Notamacropus eugenii: one gene and its partner. The protein of the gene in region 1 purifies or fractionates together with the protein of each later gene. This does not show direct contact. Links are inferred from orthologs where the notes say so. Each region holds a gene or a part of one and is shown on either strand. Other genes may lie near its edges.

Region 1 (7,914 bases):
AGTACTGTTAAGCCAACTAAAATGTGATACAATAAACTCCTTCCACAATTAGGTCATAAGCCCAACAAAAAATAAAATAAGGTAGACTTTTCCCTACTTTGAGCTTGAAGGGATGACCAGATACCTCAAAAGGAAGACCCACATGGATTATCTCCAACACCTCAGGAATAGCTTTGGTACTTACCTGGGAACCTTTGGTCAACTTAGTAACACTCTTAAAATCACGACTTCAGTGACCATGTCAGAGATTTTCTTTGAGAAAAAGACTACTTCACTAGTATTTCACTACATTCCTCTCTTTTCTATCTTACATAGATCAATAACTTGCAAAAAGCTCTTCACACACACAGTAGGAGTTTAATAATAAAAGTTTGCTGGACTGTAACTAACCAATTCTATTGGGATCCTCCCCAGGCCGATTCTGAATAAGAAGATTTTTGGTAGGAAAAACCCGAAACCCAGTGGCTCCGGCAGCGAACACTAGACCATACTTATTAGACACAGTAAGCATACTGCAGCGATCTTTGGACAGCTCTTCAGGGGCTTCAAAGACTCGAACCTTCTTCAGCGCTCTAAACTGAAAATCCTGTCATAAAGAATAAAAACAGAGAGTAACTCAGTAGTTTAAATGATGATAAGAGGTATTGCTTACCTGGGTCAAAGAGAGTTACAAAGAAAATCTTGACTTAATACTCCCATTCCTTCCTTGACTCCTTCCCTGACAAATTCAGCTCACCCTAGTTTTCTCTTACTCACTCACTGTTATATACTTACATATAAAGTCTTACTCTCTAATTATACATAAGTATATATTCTACCTCTCCACTGAGAGCAATGTAAATTCCTTCTGAATAAGGACAGTCCCTTCCATTTCTCTCCCCATGGTATAGTGGAATGAATTGAAGACTTGACATAAAGAAAACTGAATGATTCCAGCTCTGACACTTAGTAGCTATGAAACTATTAGAAAGTTACTTTTCCTCTGAGCCTTAGTTTCTTCATTTTCAATAAAACTTGTGCTCCCTTATGGAGATGTTGTGAAGAAAATACTTTGTGACCCCAAAAGATTATAGAAATGTGACTTATTACTATAGTCCCACAAGACACAAAATCTATGTACATAACAAGTACTCAAAAATTACTGACCAACAAGAAAAAGATTACTTAATTCTATGTGACATTTCAAGAAATTTTCACAATGAAATTTCAGCACATCAAAATATCTTTTGCCCCATCTCTGTCTACCTTGAATTCTACTTATATATGTACATGTAAACTTCTTGCAGGCCAAGCCTATGTCATTCTGCATCTCCGTATTCTCAACATCTAGCTAAGGATCTTGAACAGAAAAGGTACTTCTGTGAGTGGTTTTATACAAGGGGAGAATGTTTTCTGCTTTGCAGACAGTGGAAGATGAACTTAATTAGAATCAGGAGGACATAGATTTAAAACCCCATCACTGACACTTAAAAGATATGTGACCACAGGCAAGTCACTTTCTGACTCAGTTTCTAAATCTGTCAAATGGGGATCATAATACCTATATGATCATACTTAAAGAACTGTAGCCTCTGAAATAGCATTTACAAACTCAAAAAGGATTATGAGAGTTCTCATGGGCATTTTCACTGGTCCAGTGTACTACTGTGATCCCTTCCAAAAAAGCCCAGACCCACAACAAAGTTTTCTGTAAGTACAATCTGGATTATTTTTGGGCCTCTAAGATCACAGTCACCCAACATCTGGATGACAGATGAACCAATGATGTAAACAGGCTCCTTAAGTAAATCTGTACGTTAGCCTTAAGGATCACTATCCATAGTATTCTTGAGTTGAGAGAGGGACCTTAGAGACTATCTAGTGTTTTTTACAGATGGGAAAACTGAGTCTCTAAGGGGGAAGTGACCCAAGGTTGTACAATGAGTCAAACATCTAGAAGTCAGTCAACTAATATTCATTAAGAGACTACTATGTGCTAGGCACTCTACTAAGCACTGGAGATACAAAGAGAAGCAAAAGATATTCTCAGCCCTCAAGAAGCATGCAACCTAATGGAAGCAGAATCCAGATCTCTTCACTCTCAATTCAGCATATTTCTCAACCCAACGTTGACCCAACTTTGTCCAAGAGATCAGAGTCAATATTGCTTCAATGGCTAAATCCATCAAGGACTACTGAGCCAGAAACCACAGAATGCAAAAGACCTTAGCAACAACCTAGTGCTATCCCCTAATTTTAAACATAATGAAAATAAAGCCCAGACAGAGGAAGGGAGTGTCCCAGAATCACACTATGATTTAGTAGTAAATCAATGAATTAGAACTCATGGTTTCTGATACCTAGTGTAGAAATACTTCCCATCACAACAATTCATACCAAATTAGTAGCAAATCAGTGACTAGGACTTTGGTTTTGTAATACTCAGTATGGTACACTTCCCTTCACAACAACCTGTCAATCTAACTGTCCCTGCAACATTCCCTTCAGATATATGTAGCCTAAGAGACAAATTCCAGGAACTACAGAATATCAGTACTGGAAAAAACTTCCAAAACAACTTAATCCAGTTTCCTCCATTTTACAGATGAAGAAACTGAGGCATCGAGAAGAGTAAGACTAGTCCATTATTCTTATTCACATAAGACAACTTGAGATTTGGAGCCCTTCCACAACAGCATCTAAGATAGATAGTGATGGTTTGTTCAACCAGGTTCATCTGAAGAAGACGGTGCCCTCCAGAGCCATTTCTGTGTTTTCCCAGGATGCTGGAATTCTTCCACAAATCATTTCCACCTTGTGTCCCTTTCTCTCCAAACATATGTAAAATGGGGCCAAAGAATAATTTCACTTACTTCCCTTTGATTTTCTACATATTTGGGAAGAGGAGGTTGTCTGGATTTATGCCCCGAATATATGCTAATCATCTTCTTGGCTTTCGGAAATCTAAGACGTCGCATTTTGAAGATCCTTTATATCTTTCTCATCTAGCTTTCTGTTCTGGGGAAACAGCTACGTAAGAAAGATGCAGATGCTGAGTTTTTCCCTGTGAGGTGGGAAAGCACTGGGCTGTAGACGTTGCAATGATCCATAAAAAAGGGCAGTGACCGGACCTGGAGTCAGAAAATGTAGGGCGCTACCACTTATGACGGTAAGCAAATGATTTAACTTGTGGGCCTCGGTTTCCTCATCTGTAAAGTGGGTGTGGGGTGCGGGCCGGACAAGATAATCTGTGCCGCGGGTCCCTTCTAGCTCTAAATCTACGGTCCCTTCAAGACGAGATGCAGGGGTAGGGAAAGGTATCGAACCTACGGGGAAACATCCTAGACTCTAACTGAAACCCAAATCTCTGGGTTCCCATTCTCTCGTGCCCAGTAAGCTCTAAACTACAGCACCCAGCGCCTCGAGAAATTCGAGACGGGAGGCTCTCTCTCCAAGGCAACGCTGGGCCTCAGTGACGTCCGGCCAGGCCTGGCGCGGCGTGGCCTGTCCCGGTGGTACCGGTCCTCCTGCCCCTCCCGGCCCAGGTCTCATTGAACCTGACCTTCATCTCCCGTTCGGGGATCAGCGCATCCATCTCGTCTCCCATGGCACAGACTCCCTACAAGCGGGAGCCCGAGGAGCCGCCGCCCCCGGAGAGCCGGAGCTACAGCGAGGAAAAATTCCCTCGCTGAGCTCAGCGACAGGCTCCGACGGCTGCCATTTCCGGCGCATCAAAACTACGTCACACCCGTGAGAAACAGTCTTCTAGGAGGGTGGGAAAGGGGTCGATCCAACTCGAGCCTGTCGTGAGCTGCTGCTTTCCATTGGCCCGTCTGGCGCGAGCGCGCTGTGAACTGCAGCCTCCCATTGGTCAGTCAGGCTCGCGCTTACTGTCAGCCGCCTCTTTCCATTGGTTTACCCTAGGAAGGGGGTGTGGCCTGAAGTCCATCAGTCGTGATTCGCTGTTGCCTAGCCTTTCTTCCTAACATGCAGTCATCTTCCAGTCTAGGATCTTAGGGAGTTTCTGGACCGCGGAAGTTAATTTCCAAAATTTTAACTTTTAATTTGACTGATGTGACTTCCCATGTATAATCGCTATCATATTGCTCGCCTTCTCAATGGGTGGGGGATGTCGGGAGGAAGGGAGAGAATTTCGAACTCAAATTTTTTTTAAAACGAATGTTAAAAATAGTTTACATGTAATTGGGAAACATTTAACAAAGTAAATCATTTATTTTTAAAAAATTCTTCACGGATGGGGAAATGTCTGTGTGTAGCATATAGCTCAGCGTAGCGGGGCTCTGTTTCACGTCCTTCCCGCCGCGTGGTCCGCAATGAATGGCATTCATTCATTCATTCATTCAACACCCCTGCGCGCGGGCTTGTCGCCGCACCCTCTGCCAGGTTTGTATCCTGGATTTTAGAGAAAGAAGTAAAATCCCTGCCTGCCTTCCAGCCTCTCCACCAGGACGCGGAGAACTGCCGGGAGGAAGACCGCGAAGAGTTTTTAAGACCAATAAGAAAAGGGAAAGTTTGGGGAATTCGGTCTAATTCAGACCGGGTCTTCTTGTGCAGAACTGAGGTGTGGGGGAATGGAATACCATGTTTTAAATAAGCTTCTCTGAGTTTAGGTCTAACAGCTGAAGATGACACAGAGGCAAATTAGGACAAATCAAACTTAAGGCTCAAGAGCTACAAAGCGTCCAGTTGTCGATGGCTTCAGTGAAGGCGCTATGAAGGAAGTGGAATCTGAACTGGACTTTAAAGACTTGGAATTGGAGATAACACCTGACGTTTCTATAGAGTTCAAATTTGCAAAATCCTTTATCTACACTATCAAAAAGTATAGGTCGTGTTCAGATACTTGTTGTTCTTCTCGTCATTTTTTCAGTTGTGTCCTAATTCTTTGTTACCCAATTTGAGGGTTTTCTTGACAAAGCTACTAGAGGTTTGCCATTTCCTTCACTAGCCCATTTTACGAATGAGGAAACTAAGGCAAACAGGGTTAAATGACTTGCCCAAGGTCACAAAGTTAACAAGTGTTTGAGTCTAGACTTGAATTCAGAAAAATAAGTCTTTTGGACTTGGCACTCTACCTACTTTACCAACTAGTTGCCTCATTTAGAGGTCATGTATTCTAACTTCTTGGTTTTCCAGAGGAATATACTCAGCTTGAAAAAGGTTGTCATTCCCAATATCACATGAGAACCCAGGTCTTTTAAATCCAGCACTTTTTCTACTGCACCAAATATATTGGGGCAAGTAGTCTCTTCTGACTGGACAGTAGAGTAGGTAAAAGAACTAAGGTATAAGTAGATATAAGAACTAAGACTGGAAAGATGCTGTTGCTAGCTTGTGGATGACATTGAATGTAAAGCTGAGTTTGAATTTAGGAACTAGCAACCTTTGCAAGGTTTTGAACAGTGGTGTGATATGAGCGTATCTTTGGATACGGAGGGTGTCTGGCAGTAAGGGATGGATTGGATATGGAAGAGGGATTAGGGAAGATTTGATTTGAGGTTTCCACAGAAGTGGGCAGGAAGAAAAGGGGAAAGGAAGCTCATCTAGGTAGGCAAAGGGTGTACAAAGTATAAAGTACAAGCAAGGTTGAAGGATAATGAATTGGCTAGTTTTGTCTTTGTGCAGATTGGAGTTACAGTAAACATGATGACATCTAGACTGTGGAGAACTTTGAATATCAGACAATTGTCTGGTAACTATATGACTATGGTCAAGTTAATTCATTTTCTTCGGCTTCGGTTTTCCCCCTGAGAAATGAAAGAGTTGGATTATTTAATCAAGAATTCTTAACCTATGATCTGTGGATACCCAAGGGATCAATGGATAGATGGGGAGAGGGGTATGGATTGTGAAGTTAAATGGGGAAAAAATACATATTTCCATTAACCTTTGGCTTCCTTTATGTAATACTTTATATTTTATTTTAGCACTTAAAAGTATTAATCTGAGAAAGGGTACATAGATTTCACCAGATTGCCAAAGGGATCTATGACACAAAAAAGGGTAAGAACTCCTGGACTAAATGCTTTTTAGCGGCCCCTCTAGTTCTAAAATTCTGTGACTACAATTTATTCTGTGGCAGTAAAAAAAATCCTTAAAGATTTTTGAGGAGAATGGCATCACCAAAGGAATATATTAGGAAGATTCATCTTAATATATTATGTAAAATTGGGGGGGGGTTGGAAACTAGAGGGGCACTATGGAGGGTATACAGTCTTGAAAAAGACAAACCTACTAGTCAGGAGACTATTACAATATTAAGAGCATGGTATCATTTGAGAGACCTTGGAAGGGTTTCCTGCATTCAGATATCCTGGAATCCCAAAATGTCATATTTACATGGAACCTCAAAGTACATTAGAGCATACCAGAACAAGAATTCCCTTTAGAGTGGTCCCCACTCAAAGATGTCCAGGGATGGATGCCTTTCAAGGCAGACCATTGCACTTTTGGATAGCTCTGTTAGAAAGTTTTTCCTTGTGGAACATAAGATCTAGTTCACTCCGACTTTCACTTGCTCCTGGTTTTGTCCTTGAGGCAGCCTGTCTCTTCTACCTTACACCCTCAATCAATCAATATTTATTAAACTTCTACTATGTGCCAGGCACTCTGCTAAGCACTGAGGACACAAGAAATAAAAGACAGTCCCTGCCCACAAGGAGCTTACCTTCTAATCAAGACAGCATGCAAACAAATATAGACAAAGCAAGCTATATACAGGATAAACAGGAAATAATTAATAGAAGACAAGCACATTTAAAAGGGAAGGCTTCCAGTAAAAGATGGGACTTTTAGTTGGGACTTAAAGGAAGCTAGGGAGAGGTCATTAGTTGGAGCAGAAGAAGAGCATTCCAGGCATGGGGAAGAGGCAGAAAAAATGCCCGGAACTGAAAAATGAAGGGTCTTATTTGTGAAACAGCTAGAAGACCAGTGTCGCTGGATCAAAGAGTACCTGTCTGGAAGTAAGGTGCAAGAAAACTGGAAAGGTAGGAGAGGGCTAGGTTACAAAGGACTCTGCCAAAGAGAACATTTTGTGTTTGTTCCTAGAGGTAATAGGAAGCCACTGGATTTTATTGAGCAGGGAAGTAACATTTATGGGGTGCTTGTGTATGGACCCCAATTCCAAGATCACATTTCTCCCTAGTCTCAAAACACTTTCCCAGACAGTTTTCTCTCCAGTCCAAGGACACTATGCCTAGAAATAACTCATGAGTGTGCTCCTGTGAGGTAAACTATCCCTCCCTGTTCCAAGAACAAGCTGACCTCTGTAGAATTTCCCTTCTGTGAACAGGACTACCTTGTGCCAGTAGAATTCTCATGTATTGATTCCCAGTTATCATATACAATCCAGAGGTCAAGCTATAGACATCATCTCTCAAAGTTATCTTGCTACGGACATAACAGACCAAAAATACACCCCTTAGAAACTCCTTTCTCTGGTTTCCAGGAGTGAAAGATGCTGGTGACTAAGGTTGTACGATATCACCTAATTAGTGTATCTACCAGATAATCCACCACTTTTCCTATCTAAGCTTTAGCATCATTCTTGTTAAATTGCAAAGTTCCTTAAGCAGCTCTATTTGCCACATTAGCATTACAATAAACCTTTGAACTTCACTTAAAGAATATTTGAGTCTGTGAATTCATTCCAGATGACCCTTTCCTGTACTTTATTCCTTGAATCTCTCAAACCTTCATCTACATGACTGGACCTGAACTTTAAGAAAATCACTTTAGTGGTCGAATGTAGGAGTGGGGAAAGACTTGAGGCATGAAGAACACCAACAGGCTAGTACAGTAATCCAGGTATGAGGTGATGAAGGCCTGCACTAGAGTGGTGGCAGTATCAGAGGAGAGATGGGGTCATATAGGAGATTTTACAACGGTGAAATTGACTCCATTTGGGAGGTGAGA
Region 2 (8,189 bases), on another chromosome or scaffold:
CTCGCCAAGAAAGTAACCTTCTGTTGTCTTATTCTTTTTCCCTTTTTCTGGGCATTTTTCCAGTCAGTTACTTGACTTTTGAGTTCCTTGTCAAGGGGAGGGTATACTCTGGGAACCTGTGAGTTCTCAGTTCCTCCAAGGTGGCACAATCAAGGGAGAGTTTATTCCTCTCCTGACTTGTGCTCTGGTCTATGAGCAGGATTCCCTCTCCAGTGCCTCCACCAGCTCCACTGCCAAGACTCCTCCTCACCCCAGGGCAGTCACTTAGGGCTGAGATGCAGATCTGCTACTCAATTCCCCCAGGGGCTTCAGGCCAGGGCTCCAACAATGGAAGCTGCTGCTGCCTGGGGCCTGGGGCTAGACCGCTGCATTCCCTTCTCACCCAAGTAAAAGAGCTTTCTCACTGACCTTTGAAGCTTCCTTTGGTGGTTGTGAGTTAAGGAATCCGGAACCCACAGCTGCTGCCAGTGGTGTGGCGCCTTGAAGCCCGCTCCAGTCCTGTCCCTGTCACAGCACACCCGTCCCCAGGCTGGGCTGCCCTCCACACCTGTGCTGGGCTGCGCTCCGCTCCACACCCGTCCCCAGGCTGGGCTGCCCTCCACGCCTGTCCCCATGCTGGGCTGCACTCCACTCCACGCCCATCCCCATGCTGGGCTGCGCTCCGCTCCACGCCTGTCCCCATGCTGGGCTGCCCTCCACGCCTGTCCCCACGCTGGGCTGTGCTCCGTTCCACGCCCGTCCCCACACTGGGCTGCGCTCCGCTCCACGCCTGTCCCCATGCTGGGCTGCCCTCCACGCCTCTTCTGGGCTGCGCTCCGCTCTGCTCCACGCCTGTCCCCACGCTGGGCTGCCCTCCGGTCCACGCCCGTCCCCACGCTGGGCTGCGCTCTCGCTCCACGCCCGTCCCCATGCTGGGCTGCGCTCCACGCCTGAGCTGGGCTGCACTCCACTCCCTAACTGTCCCCATGCTGGGCTGCCCTCCATGCCTGTGCTGGGCTGCGCTCCGCTCCACGCCCGTCCCCATGCTGGGCTGCGCTCCGCTCCACGCCTGTCCCCATGCTGGGCTGCCCTCCACGCCTCTTCTGGGCTGCGCTCCGCTCTGCTCCACGCCTGTCCCCACGCTGGGCTGCCCTCCGGTCCACGCCCGTCCCCACGCTGGGCTGCGCTCTCGCTCCACGCCCGTCCCCACGCTGGGCTGCGCTCCACGCCTGAGCTGGGCTGCACTCCACTCCCTAACTGTCCCCATGCTGGGCTGCCCTCCATGCCTGTGCTGGGCTGCGCTCCGCTCCACGCCCGTCCCCATGCTGGGCTGCCCTCCACACCTGTCCCCACACTGGGCTGCTCTCCATGCCTGTGCTGGGCTGCGCTCCGCTCCACGCCCATCCCCATGCTGGGCTGCGCTCCGCTCCACGCCCATCCCCACGCTGGGCTGCCCTCCACGCCTGTCCCCACGCTGGGCTGCCCTCCACGCCTGTGCTGGGCTGCGCTCCACTCCACGCCCGTCCCCACGCTGGGCTGCACTCCGCTCCACGCCCGTCCCCACGCTGGGCTGCGCTCCGCTCCACGCCCGTCCCCACGCTGGGCTGCGCTCCGCTCCACGCCCGTCCCCACGCTGGGCTGCGCTCCCGCTCCACGCCCGTCCCCACGCTGGGCTGCGCTCCCGCTCCACGCCCGTCCCCACGCTGGGCTGCGCTCCGCTCCACGCCCGTCCCCACGCTGGGCTGCGCTCCGCTCCACGCCTGTCCCCACGCTGGGCTGCACTCCACGCCTGTGCTCCGTATGCAGTTTCATGAGCCCTTGGGGCACACTTCTACACTGTTCACCACAACAGCTGCATCGCCTCACAGCTCCATCAACAACGCACTAGTGCCCCTGCTTCTCCACATCCCCGCCAGCTCCTGTCATTCTCCTCCTAGTCATCTCCGCCAACCTGCCAGGTGTGAGCTACAGAAGGGTCTAAGGGCAGTGACGCAGCAGAGACGGGGCTGCCGTCCACAAGACCGGGTCCGAGTCTGCCCAAGGAGCGGCCCCCCAACCCTGACGGTCAGAGCTGCACACTGGGCTGGGCCCTGCCACCCAGGAGCCCAACCACTCCGTCCAGACGCCTCCTCTAAGACGCCTCCGGATCTTACCACCAACGTCCATCGTGGTGCTGGCAGGCCTGGCACGCAGACCACGGCCCTGAGGGTGCTTTCCTGGGCATCAAGTTTTATTTGCCTCAGGAAGAGCCGAGTTCAAATCAGACCTCAGACATTTAAGGCCGAGTGACGCTGGGCAAGTCACTTAATTGTTTCCTCATCTGTAAAATGAACAGGAGAAGGAAAAGGCAAAGCACCGAGTGAGCGGCTTTGCCAAGAAAACTCCACGTGGCGTCAAGGAGTCGCGCAATGAAAAGGCAGCCAGCTGCTAGCAAGCGTCATCTCCCTCCCAGCCCCGGCACGCCCGTTCTCCCTAGTGCCTAGCAACCAGCCCCGTCTGGCACGCCCCGCGCAGGCGCAGTACCTGATAGCGGCTCAGGGCGGGGCCCTCACCGCCGCCACCACCGCCTCCGCCGCTCCCGCTTCCGTCGCTGGGGGCGGGGCCTGGGCCGCGCAGGCGCACTGCCAAGAAAGCGCCGGCCGCCCCGTCCCATAGGAAGAGCTCGGCGCCGAGCCCGAAGAGAAGGTTTCGGGTGAGGCTGGGCGTGCTTGGCTGCTCAGCGCCCGGCGCAGGAGGGCTCAGGGCCCGTAGGCCCTCCCGCAGCCGCACGAACACAACGTGTTGAGGCAGCCACAGCCGCCACTGCTCTCCATCGCCGCCGGCCTCCTCGGCAGTCGCCATCTTTCTCCGCGCTGCCCGCCTGGTCCCACCCCCCTCTGCTGTCCAATCAACGCCCGCCAGTCTCTGCTCCAGCCCGTGAACGCCCGATCGCGTGCCCGTCCAATCGGCGCTCCCTCCTCACCGACCAATCAGTGACCTCCGCTCTTCTGTCCAATCCAAACCCGCGGCTGTGAACTCTGCTCTGCTGGCGTCACGATGAAGGGCGTGGTCCCTGGGGCTAGTCCCCTCCGTTCCCATCTCAGTGTTGCCACTGTATCCAGGTGGCTCAATGTGGTTTAGACCGATCGGCACGCTGAAGCCCGGGTGGGCAAAGCTTGCCGAGAGCTTGCAGTCTGCCAAGGACCCCAGAGCATTCTCGTCGGGTCCTCGTGATGTTCCTTTTGGGGGCTGGTGGGGCCAAGACAGGCAGAGCCCTGCTGAGGAAGGAAACCTTCGCGCCCTGGGCCTCGGTGTCGGTCTGGGCGGGGGTCCGGGGGGAGGGGCCTAAAAGGACCAGAAGGTCACAGACTACCTTTCCCAACATGCGCCGGACGCACGCAGGCACGCGCAGTCCGTGATCGGACTACCGTTCCCAGCGTACAGTGCGGTGGGTGAAGGGGCACGTTGAGGCGGAAGCAGCGGCCCTGGCCGCCCTGCGGGCTCGCTCGGAAGCCCCCCTCGCTGGGGCATCGGGCATCATGGAGGAGGCAGCGGCGGGGCAGGGACGGCGCGCGCTTCACAAGCGCCCTGGGGGCCCGCCTTGGAAGGAAATGTACCGGCAGGTGAGTGCGGCCCAGGTCCGGGTCATCGCCCCTCCCATCATACCCAGCGGGCACCCCTCCTGGGGCCGACGGTGCCTCTGCCCTGGCTCTAGGCCCCGCCCCGCCCCGCCCCCTCTCCTGGCCCCGCCTCCCGCTCCTGCTAAGCTCGGGCTTTGCTGGGGGAGCTGTGCTTGGGTGTGAGCCCCGGGCGGCCCCAAGCTGGGCCCCTTGCGGACGGGCGATGCCCCGCGGCGCTGGCTGCGCGTGCTGCTTGGGGGCAGGGCCCGCAGCCACGAGCTTGGGGCAGACGCGGATGCCCGGCGGCAAGGCCCCCGGGCCCTCAGTGTCCCCCGTTATCACGGGGCTGCCTCAGCACGTTTCCCGGTCCCTTGGACAGAAGCGGTTTTCCCTTTGAGGACTGCCCTGGCGGTGCCACCGGGCGCGGCAGAAGGAGCCCGAGGCCGCCCTGCCCTCGCAGCCCTGCCCTCGCCGCCCTCTCAGGCACCGCAGCCCCAAAGAGCTCTTCCAGGAAGTTCCCCTGCTGCCTTCCCCCCATTTCCTTCCCCTTCCACTCCAGATTCATTCCCGAAGACTCTCCCTTCTTTTCTCTGCGGCCTCCGAAGCCCCGGTGTCGCCGCTTCCCGTGCCTTCCCGTCTCACTCTTCGTTATTTCACGAAGGAGGTCGGCAGTGCTGGATGGTGACGGCCTTTTGTGCCCCTCATGGGTGAGGCCATCCTCCGCTCCTCCCCTTTCCGTGGCTGCCCCGCAGCTTGACCCTGGCAGCAGCGGGCCTGGGACATCCGGCCTGCTTTGGGTTGGGCCAGTTGTGTGCTACGCTCACTTATCCCTCTCTTCCCAGCGATGCATCCAGAGAATGAAGGACAGCCGAGCCCACCTCCTGGACAAGTACCGCCGAGTGGGAGAAGCTCCCCGAGGCCTGCTGGCCCGGGAGGTGATGGAGGCCGAGTGGCTGGCCTTGCCGTCTGCGCGGCACAGCAGGACGTTTGGACAGGTCTGTTTGCCCATCTCCCATCCTCCGGGTGCTGTGAAAGGGCTGTTCCCTCCCTCCTCTGCTCCCTCCAAGGGTCAAAGGAACAGGAACCCACACACTTCTCCCTTGTAGGTGGAAGACCCTGAAGAACTGGCTGTCCTGGGGGAAATCCAGCAGGAGCTGATGCGTCAAGGTAACCTGGAGTGTCCCTGGGGGCAGGCCTGTGTGCTGGCAGCTCCCCCATGTCTCTGTTCTTTTGTGCTTGTCCTCTGAGAAAGATTCACTAGCCTAGGCATCAGGGGCCTGGATCCGACTGGGCAGTCTTGGGCAGATCCCTCCCCTCTCTGAGCTGGGGGGAATGCTGGAGGATCTGCTCCATGGGTGGCCTGTGGGAGAGCAGTAAATGGGGACCACAGAGGAGGAGACCCAGTCTGGGGCTAGAATCCGCCCCCACCCCAGTGTGCTCCATCTTCATGAAGCCTTGGCCTCTGAGGTCAGAGCAGATGCTCCACCCCTCTCCCACTTGGAGGAGCCCGCCCTGGCTTTTTCACAGTAGCAGAGCACTGGAACTAGAGCCAGGGAGACTTCAGTTCTAATCCTGCCCCACTCATAGTAGCTGTAGTCCCTACCTTGCAGGGTTGGGTGAGGATCTATCTAATGTGGGCCCATGCATGGCCAGTGTTATGCTCACTCATTGTTCCCCTCGCTGGTTCCAGGTCTTTTAGACTTCCCTCCGAAGCCCACAGGCCAACTACGTGCCCCTCCCTGACACTCTGCCTCTCTTCCTAACTGGCTTGTATTTATTGGAATCGTCCTGTTCTGTGTCTGTGAACGTGTGTACAGGGGGTGTGTACGAGTGTGTGGGGGTGGAGTGAAGGGGTGGGTATGGGTCAGTGTGTACGTACACACACGTACACACACGTACACACACACACACACACACACACACATACATGCCCTCATGGGTTTTGAGAGGAGGATGGTTGTTCTCTCTTTATACACTTTACACTCGTAGGGCCTGGTACAAGTATGTATTTTCATCAGATGTCTGATGCCCCTCTGTATGTCCAGGCTGGCTTGGGGCCACAGTGGGGTTGCATTGCCCTCATGGCTGCTTGACTCCTCTGTGTCCTCCCACACAGAGGCCTGGGCGCCAGGTGCACTGGCCATCTTGTTGTCCCACTTCTCGCTAAGCTCCTGTGATCCTCTGCTTGACCCTTGTTCTTCAGGGTTCCTTGTGATGTTTTAGCCTGATCCTTTTCCCCTCTGCGTGATGCTCATTTTTCATTCTTGCCCTGGGGGCAGCAACACAAGTAAAATATTTGTATGGGTCTTTGCTGTAGGAAAAGCTCCAGTCAGTAAAGGAGGTTGGCACTGTCTTAGTGTTATCTCGCCTGCTTTATAACCCTGCCCAGCTCACAGTCCCCTTGTTCTGGGTCCCAGAAACACATATGATGGTCTGTCTCTGTAGGATGTCCATTCAAATGCAGGTGGAAATCTGGACCATAGGCTTTCATCATCCATTTGATGTTCCTTGTGTGGATGGAAAATCAAAACTCCTTCAGGCGATTCCAGATCTCTTCCAGAAAGCCCTGTAGTGTCATGAGGCTTCATGCAACCCCCACAGCAAACAGGAGTGTCCCTTGTCCCCAGGGAAGCTGTCCCTCCTTGACATGGACTTTGAGCTGGATGGTGACAAGCATCTTTGGAGTGTCCACCTCCCCATTTTTGCATCTCATTATTGGGGGTGGGGGTTCCATTATTCTTTCTTCCATGTTCTGGTGTCGGCTTGGTCGTCTTTGGCAACAATTTGGTCATTTGTTTTTGACTGAAGCTGATGTCACGGCTACAGGAAATGACCCCTCCCACCAGTGCAAATGGTCCAGCTAGTCTGGAATATAGAATGGGAAGAGACTTGCCATGATCTTTTCCTCCCCAAGGTAGTCAGTGTGGGTGAGATGCCAAAGGAACCTCTCCACTGCACTGATACGTGGCTTGACTCGCCTCTCAGGATGGGCCATGATCTTACTCATTCCTTTAGAATTCTCATGTAAACCAGAAATGGGCTTCTCTTTTATCCTTTTGGTGTCAGGCATTCTCCCAAATGCCATTGCTGCCTCCTGACTTCCTCACTGTTCAAACAGCTTCTGTAGTTCCGTCTCTAGTTATTGTCATCCTCCCCGTTTCACCCCCAAAAGCTCACAGGATGAGACAGTTTTCCTGGGTCTTACCCCAACCTCTTGGCAGGCTCCTTTCCCTGCAGCAATTTCATGAAGTTGGACTGTTTTCTAAGAGTTTGAACTCTGGAACATCATACATACTAGACTGTCTGGCAGGAAAGTGTTTGCTGGCCAAGGTTCCTGGCCTCTTCTGACCTGGCCTTACTCATTGGGTCAGGAGCCTTTCTTACCTTCCACTTTGTGGTTCGTTTGCAGTCGGTGATCATACAAGCTGTGTCTGAATTGATATCCACATAAGGATGTGAAATTATTATATAAAAACAGATTTACTGAGGAGTTTTTTAAAACTTTTCCATCCAAGGAAGACACTTGCTGCATGTTTATTGTCTGTTAGAGGCCAGCTCCTTGAGGACTTTGTTTTGTTGCCTAGCACAGGGCCTGGTATCTAGTAAGTGCTTAATAAATTTGTGATTGGTCACTGTTCTTTACCATGGAAATGGTCATTCTCTTATTAAAAACTCAGAGAAATGTCAGATTTTCTATAAGGCTGGTCAGAAAAAATACTGCTTTTAGCTTTTCAGACCAGTAAAGATTTCATTACTGTCTTCTTTGACCTAGGAGTAGAACTGGGGTCCCACACTAAGAGCTGCGTGGCTTCAGTGCCTGTCAGAAAACTGAAAAAGCAAAAATTGATTTAATATTGAGCACGTTGAATGTGTTGTTTTTCTGAATTTCAGTCTACAAAACCCTTTCAAGTCTCGGTCCCTCCCTCTCAGGATCCTTTCTTTTCATTCATTCACCTTTCCTTTTAAATGGCCTTTGTTAGTGTGTGTTTTGTTTCCCCCGCTTTAGAAATTTTTCCAGATTACATTATGTTCCTCCTGCTTGTAGCTCTCTTACATTATGGCAGTCTGTGATGTGAATGAAGCACATTTTATGCAACCACCACCCTCTCATTGGGCATTTAGGCTGCTTTGCAGTCCCATGTGTTGCTCTGGAAACATCTAAATGAGCTTTAGAGGATCCTCCAGGCATTTCCCACCCAAGCAGTTACTAGGTCCAAGCATCCTAAGCACTGCCAAATGTGAATGGGCCTGACTTTCCACAGCCCCACCAGCATTGAGTCTCATCCCTCTTTTCCATAGCCCACACAGCTGATTGTGTTCCTCCTATCCCTGGACACTTGGAGGTTTCCTCACTACCATTTTTCTGTGCCAGGAGAAGAGAATATTGGTTTCACCCTGAGTGCAGTAGCTTTCCTTTTCCTTCCAGAACAAGCCTTCATTGAGGAGTATGAAAGGAGTCTGTGGTTTGATGACAAGTGTCTCTGGGCCCTGCTGGAGGGGCTACAGACAGATGGGCTCATATGTCCAGTGTGTTCAAGGTAAGTGGCAGTCTTTGGGGTGGCGGCTTTGAATTGGGGCCTTTAGCATTTTAAACCAAACCAAAGGCAGTTT

Evidence for each region.
Region 2: the proteins of NUP214 (region 1) and NUP88 purify together in Homo sapiens (affinity purification with mass spectrometry; 6 studies listed by BioGRID and IntAct, counting the BioPlex papers as one, with this or other methods). This does not show direct contact. The link is inferred for Notamacropus eugenii from reciprocal best matches to the Homo sapiens genes NUP214 and NUP88.

Annotation. Positions count from the first base shown.
Region 1 is NC_092872.1:482,961,078-482,968,991, reverse strand, and holds the start of NUP214 (nuclear pore complex protein Nup214), read right to left. Parts: upstream 3,032-7,914; 5' UTR 2,958-3,031; coding exon 2,853-2,957; intron 587-2,852; coding exon 391-586; intron 1-390. UniProt on the Homo sapiens protein: Part of the nuclear pore complex. Has a critical role in nucleocytoplasmic transport.
Region 2 is NC_092877.1:389,122,267-389,130,455, reverse strand, and holds the start of NUP88 (nuclear pore complex protein Nup88), read right to left. Parts: upstream 3,034-8,189; 5' UTR 2,821-3,033; coding exon 2,503-2,820; intron 2,335-2,502; exon of another isoform or gene 2,133-2,334; intron 1-2,132. Other genes in the region: RPAIN (RPA-interacting protein), read left to right, coding at 3,498-3,581, 4,421-4,573, 4,685-4,745, 8,005-8,116. UniProt on the Homo sapiens protein: Component of nuclear pore complex.